3 linked regions of the Macaca fascicularis genome follow. The protein of the gene in region 2 interacts with the protein of the main gene of each other region in a pairwise test. Links are inferred from orthologs where the notes say so. Each region holds a gene or a part of one and is shown on either strand. Other genes may lie near its edges.

What was found.
Region 1: the proteins of PSMA1 (region 2) and HSD17B14 interact in binary tests that used the Homo sapiens proteins (3 or more experiments, as listed by UniProt). The two-hybrid records come from large-scale screens. The link is inferred for Macaca fascicularis from reciprocal best matches to the Homo sapiens genes PSMA1 and HSD17B14.
Region 3: the proteins of PSMA1 (region 2) and keratin, type I cuticular Ha8 interact in binary tests that used the Homo sapiens proteins (3 or more experiments, as listed by UniProt). The two-hybrid records come from large-scale screens. The link is inferred for Macaca fascicularis from reciprocal best matches to the Homo sapiens genes PSMA1 and KRT38.

What each region holds. Positions count from the first base shown.
Region 1 is NC_088393.1:56,819,702-56,823,914, forward strand, and holds the start of HSD17B14 (L-fucose dehydrogenase), read right to left. Parts: upstream 2,803-4,213; 5' UTR 2,680-2,802; coding exon 2,592-2,679; intron 2,109-2,591; coding exon 2,070-2,108; intron 1,133-2,069; coding exon 1,050-1,132; intron 1-1,049. Other genes in the region: PLEKHA4 (pleckstrin homology domain-containing family A member 4), read right to left, coding at 3,386-3,648, 4,043-4,155. UniProt on the Homo sapiens protein: Catalyzes the NAD(+)-dependent oxidation of L-fucose, yielding L-fucono-1,5-lactone, which rapidly converts spontaneously to L-fucone-1,4-lactone. Can also act on D-arabinose and L-galactose, with lower catalytic efficiency. Does not use NADPH.
Region 2 is NC_088388.1:51,244,633-51,248,144, reverse strand, and holds part of PSMA1 (proteasome subunit alpha type-1), read right to left. Parts: intron 3,451-3,512; coding exon 3,380-3,450; intron 3,264-3,379; coding exon 3,134-3,263; intron 213-3,133; coding exon 133-212; intron 1-132. UniProt on the Homo sapiens protein: Component of the 20S core proteasome complex involved in the proteolytic degradation of most intracellular proteins. This complex plays numerous essential roles within the cell by associating with different regulatory particles.
Region 3 is NC_088390.1:62,486,657-62,490,747, reverse strand, and holds the start of keratin, type I cuticular Ha8, read left to right. Parts: upstream 1-1,289; 5' UTR 1,290-1,351; coding exon 1,352-1,843; intron 1,844-2,030; coding exon 2,031-2,113; intron 2,114-2,909; coding exon 2,910-3,066; intron 3,067-3,403; coding exon 3,404-3,565; intron 3,566-3,645; coding exon 3,646-3,771; intron 3,772-3,948; coding exon 3,949-4,091.

The sequences.
Region 1 (4,213 bases), on a different chromosome or scaffold from region 2:
GGCTGGTCAGAGCCACACTGCACCCAGGGTTAGGGGGTGGGGCATGGGGGTGACAAGGATTCAGAGAGAGTATAGGGGACAGTTACTAAAGGGGGGCAGATAACAGAGAGATACTGATTAAAAGGAAGAAAGAGGAACCCAGAAATAATGGAGAAAAAAATCAGTTACAGGCCACGTGCAGTGACTCACACCTGTAATCCCAACATTTTGGGAGGCTGAGGTGGGTGGATCACGCGAGGTCAGGAGTTCGAGACCAGCCTGGCCAACATAGTGAAACCCCGTTTCTACTAAAAATACAAAAATTAGCCGGGTGCGGTGGCTCATGCTTGTAATCCCAGCACTTTGGGAGGCCAAGGCAGGCGGATCACCTGAGGTCGGGAGTTCAACACCACCCTGACCAACACAGAAAAACACCATCTCAACTAAAAATACAAAATTAGCCAGGTGTGGTGGAGCATGCCTGTAATCCCAGCTACTCAGGAGGCTGAGAGAGGAGAAACACTTGAACCCGGGAGGCGGAGGTTGCGGTGAGCCGAGATCGCATCATTGCACTCCAGCCTGGGCAACAAGAGCAAAACTCCGTCTCAAAAAAAAAAAAAAAAAAAAAAAATTAGCTGGGCATGGTGGCACACGCCTGTAATCCCAGCTACTCAGGAGGCTGAGGTAGGAGAGTGGCTTGAACCTGGGAGGCAGAGGTTGCAGTGAACCAACATCACGCCACTGCACTCCAGCCTCAGTGACAGTGACACCTCCAAAAAAGAGACAGAAAAATCAGTTACAGTTGACCCACTTTGAGGGACTTATTCCTTTCCACCCACGTGTCAGATGTGCTAAGAGCCTTGGAGAGGTGGGAGAGAAGGAACATGTGACCTGCTCGTCAGTCACAGAAGATCTTGTGTGTGGAGTGACACTGGTTGGAAACCTTTGACGGGTCCAGTGGAGCCAGGAGAGGAAGGAAAAGTAGAGGGAAAGGCACATGCAAATGGCTGGAGGAGAACAAAGAACTGGTCATTAGCGGAGATGGGGGTAGGAATGGGAACTCGGCTCACCTTCATATCATCTTCCTGAGTCACATCACAGAGGATAAAGACAGTTCCAGGGAGCTCCTGCTCCAGGGCCCGGCCCCCAGACTCTGCAGGCAGAAAAGAGCTGGGAGCCTGGAGCCCTGGGCCTGAGGGAGGAGGGTCTGGGGGCCTGCAGATTCCTGGGTCTGAGGGAGGAGGGGCTGGGGGCCTGGACTCCTGGGTCTGAGAGAGCAGGGGCTGGGGGCCTGGACTCCTGGGTCTGAGAGAGCAGGGGCTGGGGGCCTGGACTCCTGGGTCTGAGGGAGGAGGGGCTGGGGGCCTGGACTCCTGGGTCTGAGGGAGGAGGGACAGGGATCTGGACTCCTGGGTCCAAGGTAGGAGGGGCTGGGGCCCTGGATTCCTAGGTCCAAGGGAGGAGGTGCTGGGGCCTGGACTCCTGGGTCTGAGGGAGGAGGTGCTGGGGGCCTGGACTGCTAGGTCTGAGGGAGGAGGGGCTGGGGGCCTGGACTCCTGGGTCTGAGGGAGGAGGAGGGGTCTGGACTCCTGGGTCTGAGGGAGGAGGGGCCGGGGGTCTGGACTCCTGGGTCTGAGGGAGGAGGGACAGGGGTCTGGACTCCTGGGTCTGAGGGAGGAGGGGCCGGGGGTCTGGACTCCTGGGTCTGAGGGAGGAGGGCCTGGTGTCCTGGACTCCTGGGTCTGAGGGAGGAGGGGCTGGGGATCTGGACTCCTGGGTCTGAGGGGGGAGGGACAGGGGTCTGGACTCCTGGGTCTGAGGGAGGAGGGGCTGGGGCTCCTGGACTCCTAGGTCTGAGGGAGGAGGGGCTGGGGGTCTGGACTCCTGGGTCTGAGGGAGGAGGGGCTGGGGGTCTGGACTCCTGGGTCTGAGGGAGGAGGGCTGGGGGTCTGGACTCCTGAGTCTGAGGGAGGAGGGGCTGGGACTCCTGGACCCCTGGACTGAGGGAGGAGGGGCTGGGGCTCCTGGACCCCTGGACTGAGGGAGGAAGGACCAGGGTGAGGGCTGAGGGCTGAGGGACCCTCACTCACCATCCTTGTCGCAGATAACCACTTGGGCCCCGCTGTCCACTGAGAATAGGAAGGCAACACGTTACCCTCCGAGTCTTGGTTAAAGCCTCTGCCGCCCTCTTGTGGCCACCTGGATTGGGGCCGATCTCCGTCTCCCCTCGTGACCCCAGTCTCATGATCACCCACAGGACAGAGGGCAGAGGCCTTGACACATACTCTCCTTGCCTGCCCAGGTTTCTGCTGAGGCTCCTGATCCCCCGTTCGTGGGTTCCAGAGCAAACTCCACAACTGACAGGGCCATTCCCCAAACCACTGGTTTTGCAGCTATACCAACAGACCCAGAGAAAGGGGCCACTGCCTTCGGAGACCCTGCCAGACAGCCCTAGCCTACCGCGCCACACGCTTACTTTAGCCTGCAAATTGGCTTTTATAAGATCAGAATCCCGGCTGCAGTATTGGAGACCCTATTTTCCGCCCCCATCGCCCCGCCCCCATCCTTCCTCTCTCACGCTCCACAGCTCCCAGCAGTCAGACCCGGCTCACCGAAGGCGCGCACGATCCCAGCTCCGATGCCGCGCCCGCCCCCGGTCACAACCACCACCTTCCCGGCATAGCGCGTTCCCGTAGCCATCCGTGTCCACCGGTCTCTCTCTCTCTCTCTCTCTCTGTGTCTCTACTCTGGGCCTTTTTCACCTCCAAAGCCACGTGAGGCCGTCGCATCAAATCCTCAATAGAAGCTGGATCGTGGAAGTCCAGCCTCGGGGGGCGTTGCCAGGAAGGCTAGGGACCTGGAAGTTTGTCCCCAGCCCCTCCTCCCTCAGACACTCCTCTCCTCCCACAGACACAGGAATCCAGGAGCCCCAGTCCCTCCTCCCTCAGACCCAGGAGTCCAGCCTCCCAGCCCCTCCTCCCTCAGACCCAGGAGTCAGGGTCCCAACCCCTCCTCCCTCAGACCCGGGAATCCTGACCCAGGCCCCTCCACTCTCAGACTGAGGGATCAGATTCTCTATCCCTTCCTCCCAGAGACCTGTAAGTCCAAGCACCCTGTCCCTTCCTCTCTCAGGACCCAGGAGTGCACGACTCCGGCTCTGCCCCTCAGAGACCCCAGTGCAACAACCCCAAACAGACAGAAACAAAGCTATTGACTAAAAGTTCAAAGTTTTAATCCAAATTTAGACAGTGTTGAGAAAATCAAACTTTGGCCATAGAAACCATTTCCCTCCCGGACGGGCGATGGGGACCAGACCACGCCCCTGATGCCCTGAGTGGTCCCAGATCTCCGGCGGTACCTCCAGACCACGTGCTCACGCTCCGATTGGCTGCCACGTTTGGGCGGGTTAGAAGCTGGACTGTAGCAGAGTGACTCGCAGAGGCCACGCCCCCTCGTCTTGGGGCAGGACCGGAGGGGCGATCCCGGCATCCCACGTGGGCCCCCAGGGGGCGGGACTTCCTCCACGCCCACTCCCTCGGCGAGAGAACCCTGTGGAACCCGAATTAGCCACCGGGGAAGATCTTGGGGGAGGGGTCTCCTGGCGCGTGGGGTCCGAAGGAGGCAGCGGCACACGGGGAAGAGGGTCTCCCCGGGAGTCCAAATTTCCACCTAGAGAGGATGAGTGGGAGACATAAGAATGGCAAACTTCAGCAGCAGGACTCCGGGTTCCCAGGCCCCTCCTCCCTCAGACCCAAGAGTCCAGGCCCCCAGCCCCTCCTCCCTCAGACCCAGGAGTCTGGACACCCCAGTCCAGACCTCTTTCAGACTCAGATGTCGGTCCTCTCCCCGCCCCCTGACCTCTTCCTCCCCTCCTCCCAAGTGTCCCGGAACCCAGTCCACTCTTGCCTGAGACCTAAAACTCCCAAACTCTGCCCAACTCTTTCCTCGCCAACATAAAAAATTCCCACCGGCCCCTAGACCCCTCCTCTCCAGGACCTGGGATTCCAGGTCTCCAGCTTTCTCCTCCCTAAAACCCAGAAGTTCAACATCCCCAGCCAGTCACCTGTCATCATTCTGTGCCACTGCGACGCCTCAGTAGCCAGGGCTTGGGAGAGGCTGAGAACCCGCTCCCGGTGACCTTCGGAAGTCGGCAAGTAAGGGGTGGTGTTCCTTGGACTAGAAAAAAAAAAGAAGATTGGGGGTGGGGTGTGTACATGGGGGAGAGGTGGGGAGG
Region 2 (3,512 bases):
CTTAAAGGGAAAGAATCTGCAAGACAATCATATCCCAAATTAAAGAATATTGTATATATACTCCATTACATTTATGCAATAAAGGTTTAAACTGTAACATTAATATCTACAATTGGAAAAGACAATACTTACCTTTGTAGTTAGGTCCTGTTCTGCAGGAAGTGTCTCTCTTAAGGCACGCAGACCATGTTTAACTAGTTCATTTAAATTGCCTATATGTAATAAATCAACAATTATTTCTTAATTTCATTGTTAGGCTTCTGTTATTGATCAAATCTACAGTCTGAAATTGTGGTTTTTAGTTACACACTAAATTTATCACAGTAAAAACAGCCAAGTTTAATGCTAGTCATACAATCTTTTAATAGCATTCTGTGACATTGCTGATCATTATTTAATGAGAGGACTCATTATTTCTGTTACAATTTTGATCTTCTCTTTTGCTAGGTCAAATCAAAATCCCGACAACAAATTATACAACTCCAAGTTTTGTAGAATGTGTTCTGTAGAATCCTAGTCCCTATATTTGCTCATTGTAAAAAGGAATCTCCAACTTATTCTATGTGGCCAGTATTACTGATACCAAGAATAAAGACATCACAAGAAAAGAAAACTACAGACCCAATATAGATGCAAAAAATAATAACAATAATAAAAAAATAAAACCCTCAACAAAAACTACAAATGGAACCTGGCAACATATTAAAAAATTATATACCATAGACAAGCGAGATTTATCCCAAGAATGATAAGTTAGTTTAACAACTGAAAGTCAGTGTAACACACGTTAACAGAAGGGGGAAACCTGCATAATCACCTCAAGAGATGCATAAAAAGCATGTGATAAAACCTAAAATCCTTGCATAATAAAAACACAAAACTAGTAATTGAAAGCAACCTCTTATAGAGGGCATCTACAAAAAGCTGACAGGTAACATCATTTTTGTTTTTGAGACGTAGTCTCGCTCTGTCGCCTAGGCTGGAGTGCAGTGGGGCAGTCTCGGCTCACTGCAAGCTCTGCCTCCCGGGTTCATGCCATTCTCCTGCCTCAGCCTCCCGAGTAGCTGGGACTACAAGTGCCCACCACCACGCCCGGCTAATTTTTTGTATTTTTAGTGGAGACGGGGTTTCGCCGTGTTAGCCAGGATGGTCTCGATCTCCTGACCTCGTGATCCACCTGCCTTGGCCTCCCAAAGTGCTGGGATTACAGGCGTGAGGCACCACGCCCGGCCAGGTAACATCATTCTTAATAGTGAATGACTAAAAGCTTTTCCCTTAAGTTAAGGAACAAAGAAAAGAATGTTTGTTCATGCAACTTCTATTCATCATTAGTACCAGAGGTTCCAGCCAGGGCAATTAGAAAGGAGAAAGTAAAACTATCTCTATTCCCAGATGACACGATCTCAGGAATCTATAAAAAAATGACTAGAACTAATAAACGAGTTCAGCAAGATTGCAAGATATAAGATTGATATACAAAAATCAACTGTATTTCTACGTAGTTGCAATGAATAATATGCAATGAAATTAAGAACACAATTCTGTTCACAACAGCACCAAAAATAATAAAATACTTATAACACAAATATGATTTGTACATGGAAAACTACAAAACATCAGTGAAAGAATTAAATACCTGGCCGGGTGCAGTGGCTCATGCCTGTAATCCCAGCACTTAGGGAGGCCGAGGCAGGTGGATCACCTGAGGTTGGGAGTTTAAGACCAGCCTGACCAACAACATGGAGAAACTCTGACTCTACTAAAAATATGAAATTAGCTGGGCGTGGTGGCGAGTCTGTAATCCCAGCTACTCAGGAGGCTGAGGCAAGAGAATTGCTTGAACCCGGGAGGCAGAGGTTGCAATGAGCCAAGATTGTGCCATTGCACTCCAGCCTGGGCAACAAGAAGAGCGAAACCCCGTCTCAAGAAAAAAAAGAAAAAAATAATTAAATACCTAAATAAATGAAGATATTCCATGTTCATGGATCAGATGCCTTGTATCATTTAAGTAACAGTACTCCCCAAAATTATCTATGGATTTATTGCAATCTTTAGGAATTTCCTATGCAGGTTGAAATGTGCTAGGCAGAGGGTGCCGATATGAGCAGTTCTGAATCAAACTGGACACTGAGTTTCCAATGAGCTTCCCTGGGCAGAAACGTCACATACATATTGCTGCAAGTGTACTCTGTGACTCCTTCTGGGAAGGAAAGAGCATAAGAAAGCCTGCACATAGATTCCTCTGGACTGTATTTTTCCTTAATGATCCACCTATGTATTGTTATTTTATTGTTATAAGTCTTAACCTGGGAGTACAACCATATGCTGAGTGCTTTAAGTCCTAGCAAATCTCCCAATTTAGGGGTAACCTTGGGGACCCCAATCCATTTACCATAATTTAAAATGTTAAACTTTAAGCAAGCATTTACCAAGCTTATTTGTCCAAGGAATCCTCTTTTCCCAAAGTTAAACCTATTGTCATCCTACAACAGTTTGCTTTGAGTAATGTCAATTAAACTATTTTTCTCTGCATTCACTAAACCCCAAATATTTCCTCCAAAGAATGCTATGTCACCAGAAAACAGATAAGATGACAAAGAAATGTAAAACCCAATATCCTCCTTCCAATGCAAAGCAAAGCAAAGCACTTGAAAACCTGCCCTGTCATAATATCTTACCTCTTTTACCTTCTTTTCCCTCAGCTACACTGCCTTTTTATTTCTTGTTTATGGACTACTAATGCAGAAATGTCTGTGTGGCTTAAAATAAGACTCACAGAAAACTAAAAGTGAACAGAGCTTACAACTGGCAGGTAGTATAGTGGTTCTCCACTCTCCACTCCACAGGGCACACTTCTGACCAACTGAATCAAGAATTTTCAAGGTTGGGAACACATTTATATTTTGAAAAAGTTCTAGTCGTGATTGAAACTACGGTATCAATTTTAACTTCTGGCGGTAACCAGAAGTTGAAGTTAGTATATGTGACAGAAACAAACTCTTCTGGGGCTTAATTTTAAAAAAAAATTCTTTCTGTAAGACTGATAGTTTTATGTAGTTAGGATACTATATTTATTTACTATATAGACTGGAAGAGGCCAAAAAAAAAAAAAAAAAGCAAGGCTATCACTTACACTCCATAAATTCAGACATATGTCTCTCCAAGTAAGTACGAGCTGACTGGGATCGGGCTCCAATGGACATGGCTCTGCAGTCAAAATAGTTAGCAGATGGACAGGTTTGGAAAATGTGAGGGCCCATATCCTACAAATAGAAATAAATACACCACATAATTATTTATGTTGGTTGAACTAAAATTTATAAAAATTTCTAGTTAATAAAAAAAATCATTAACATATAACAATATTCAATGAACTTACATCATAACCGGCAATAAGCAGCCCAACACCATATGGTCTCCGGCCATATCGTTGTGTTGGTATCTGGGTCTCTTAGACTGGTTAAAGAGCTTGTTTTAACAAGGAATGAAGTACTATCTTTATTTTCAAATTA
Region 3 (4,091 bases), on a different chromosome or scaffold from region 2:
ATACAAAGGGAAAAATACACAACGTCAGATTTTTGTTTTACATCTTCACTTCAACTTCTTGCCCGGTTTCTAGGCCTTTGAATCCTTCTTAGTTCTAGCAATGACACAGTAGTTATCCTTGGGGGTGGGAGATTTGGTGGTAGTCAAGGTGAAGAAATAGCTTCTGCAGTTGAAAGAAGCTGATGTTAAGAATAGGCTTTATACTTCATAGTGAGGTTGATCTTAGAAAAATGACTTCACATCTCTTGTCCTCAATGGCTTATTTATTTATTTTGTAAAATTAAGAGTACCCACCTCCCAGGTTGGAAGTAAAGATTAAAAGGTATCACTGCTCAATCCCCTAGCTCATAGGGTGAAGGCTCATGACTGATTTTAGAATCAAGGAAGCAAGGTATGAAGAGAGCCCACAGAGGCTCTGATCACTCAATGTTCTTTGGCTTTCATGAGTTCTTTTCTCAAAGTTCTTATTTGAGGTTCAGTAAGATTATTGCTCATTTCTTTTTGTTTTTTTCTGGCTTCTTGAGCTTGCCTTCTTGGTCGAGATAAGCCATGGTTTTCGGAGTCATCCTCATTTTCATGAGCTTCTCAGATACCTTGTTTGAAACATCACATCTATCCAAGTTACAGTTGTTCCCCAATGACAGGAACTGTTCTGTGCTTAACCAACTATATGTCAAGTGTCAGCAAGGTGCCTGACAAATGGGACATAGCTAGGGGATGTGTGTTGAGTGAATGGATTCATCTAAGTCTTGTTGCTCCTCAAAGTGAGTCTGAAAGGCAACCAACTAAAGAAAGAAGAAATGTAGGACTTCTTGATAACCCAAGGCCGTAACATCCACCAATACCAAGACTTAGTTTCTTCCCTGGATAGGGAAGGCTGGTTGAGTCTTAACCCAAGTGAGAACCATTGCTATTACAAGGGTTAGTCCTCCTGCTACACCACTGACCAACAGGAAAGTTTGTGTCTCCAGAGTGGACACATCCATAAAGAGGCCAAACCCAGTCAAGGTCTAAGCATCTGATGGCTAAAATAACTTTGCTTCTTTGAAAAATAATAAAAACCTTCTGACCTCCCACCAGCAGCCAACCTGATTTCAAAGAGCCAAGAGGCATCTCAGATTCGTCAACATTCCTTTAATGAGCTGAGAAACTTTTCATGGTAAACTCAGCAGCTGAGTAACAGGATGATGGCACCACAACAGGTAGATAATCAAGGCAGGAGGTCAAAGCATTGGAGCCAACACCCACCCAGGACGGGGTATAAAAGGGCTGGGAGGAGAGGAGACCTCAGTCTCAGTGGCTCGGCGTTCCCAGCTGATCTGAAGCTCCTGTGCAGTCTCAGCCCTACACCATGACCTCCTCCTACAGCAGCTCCTCATGCCCTCTGGTTTGCACCGTGGCTCCTGGAGCAAGAAATGTCTCTGTCTCTTCCATCGACGTTGGGTGCCAGCCCGGGGCAGAGGCCAACGTTGCCCCCATGTGCCTTTTGGCCAACGTGGCACATGCCAACCGAGTCCGCGTGGGGTCGACTCCCCTGGGCCGCCCCAGCCTCTGCCTGCCCCCAACCTGCCACAATGCTTGTCCCTTGCCAGGGACCTGTCACATTCCTGGCAACATTGGAATCTGTGGGGCCTATGGTGAAAACACCCTGAATGGCCATGAGAAGGAGACCATGCAGTTCCTGAACGACCGCCTGGCCAACTACCTGGAGAAGGTGCGCCAGCTGGAGCGGGAGAATGCGGAGCTGGAGGCCACACTCCTCGAGAGGAGCAAGTGCCACGAGTCCACTGTGTGCCCGGACTACCAGTCCTACTTCCGCACCATTGAGGAGCTCCAGCAGAAGGTGAGGTGTGGGATCGCTTGGGCATGCTGGGTCTGAGAAGGCAGAAGCCTTCGCAGGAGGAATCCACATAAGGTCCAGAGAGCTTTGGGTTCTTGGTTTCTCTTGGACATGAGCGTAGACACCACACGTGGAGTGAGAGCTTAGAGTATGATGCTTTGTATGTGAACCGTCTTTCCGTTTTCCTCAGATCCTGTGCAGCAAGGCCGAGAATGCCAGGCTGATTGTACAAATTGACAATGCTAAGCTGGCTGCCGATGACTTTAGGATCAAGTAAGTCAGGTGGAGGAGGGCCAGGGTGACTCCCTCCCCACCCTCCATCCCAGTGCTCAAATACTTGTTGAGTGAGTGAATGTTTGTCCTGTCTTCCTTGCTAGATTCTCCACAGTAAAATTTTCATTACAATCAAAGCTGATGAAAGATGGAAGGGAAAACTCCTCATTAATCCAAGCATATATGTTTGTCCTCCTTCATTTATTTCCCTAAAATGGAGGATAAGGGAGCCTGAGTTCATTCACCAGGAGCAAAATGAGGGGATTTCAAGGATGAACTGAGCAAGACAGCCATTGGGTTTCATATATAAGTCAGAGAAGTCGTTTACAGATGAGTCTTTGTTCAGATTTAATTATGGAGCCCTAAGGTACCAGGCATAAGGTACCTAGGCAAAAATGAGAGAGGGGAAGACAGCTGAAAAGTAAGGCATAAGGAGCCGCAGATCACGATCAGGCACCTGGCTATTGCTTATCTTTGGTAACTGACAGTCCCCGCAATGGCACGAGTGTTGGTCCCAAGATGCATGATCTTAGGCAAGTCAGTTCATCTTCCTGAACTGCAGTTGCCACAGAATACAATGGCAAAAATGTATATTGTGCAATGTAGTGTTGTGATTGCTTCATTAGACCATGAGCTCTTTGAGAAGGGGGGCTGTGTCTAATTCACCTTCGAGGCCAGAGGGCTAAACAGTGAACAAATGAGGATCCAAGGTGGTGTGGGAGGTAGGAAGAAGGCAGGGCAGCCGAGAGGGGCTCTTGGGGCATTCTTGTTGACCCTGTACCTCCCGTGACGGAAGGCTGGAGAGTGAGCGCTCCCTACGCCAGCTGGTAGAGGCGGACCAGTGTGGGACGCAGAAGCTCCTGGATGACGCGACCCTGGCCAAGGCTGACCTGGAGGCCCAGCAGGAGTCCCTGAAGGAGGAGCAGCTGTCCCTCAAGAGCAACCATGAGCAGGTGTGGCCCTGGCTGCTCAGACTCCCGGGGAGGGTGCTGGGCAGACAGGGGAGCTCCCTGGCCCCGGGGCTCTCAGAGCATTGTCTGGGCTCAGCTGGCATCAGGATGCAGGGCTGAGGTGAGTCTGAGGGTGCAGTGGTCCTCTGTGCAGACTTGCCTTGGGCACGAGGAAGGTGTCCAGGTGGGCTCTCCCCACTGCACTCTCAGCAAGACTTTCCCATTTGCTTGTGTGTGGGACTCCCCTCCCACTGCTTGCAGGGTCAGGGTACTGGTGCTGTCTGCTCCATCAAAGGTCCTCTCTTCACACAGGCTGTCTGTCCCTTCCTCCTTTCTGCAGGAAGTAAAGATTCTGAGGAGTCAGCTGGGGGAGAAGCTCCGGATCGAGCTGGACATTGAGCCCACCATTGACCTGAACAGGGTGCTGGGGGAGATGCGGGCTCAGTACGAGGCCATGGTGGAGACCAACCGCCAGGATGTAGAACAGTGGTTCCAAGCCCAGGTGAACGGAGGAGGTACAGAAGCAGGGGGTACCTGGCCTCCATCTGGGCAGGGAGGTGACTATGTCTCTCCGTGCTCTAGTCTGAAGGCATCAGCCTGCAGGCCATGTCCTGCTCCGAGGAGCTGCAGTGCTGCCAGTCGGAGATCCTGGAGCTGAGATGCACAGTGAATGCCCTGGAGGTGGAGCGCCAAGCCCAGCACACCTTGGTATGTGTCCTTCACCCTCACTGCACTGCAAATGCCCTGTGCCATGGCCTAGTAGCCTTTTATTTTGGAGGTCTCACCGCCCAGGTTTCTCCCACCTGTTATCACCATCAAAATCTGGGGCATGTAGCAGTTTCCCTGGGGGCCTTGCACATTTTATCCCCTTATTTCCCACTACAGAAGGACTGTCTGCAGAACTCCCTGTGTGAAGCTGAGGACCGCTTCGGCACGGAGCTGGCCCAGATGCAGAGCCTCATCAGCAACGTGGAGGAGCAGCTGTCCGAGATCCGGGCTGACCTGGAGCGGCAGAACCAGGAGTACCA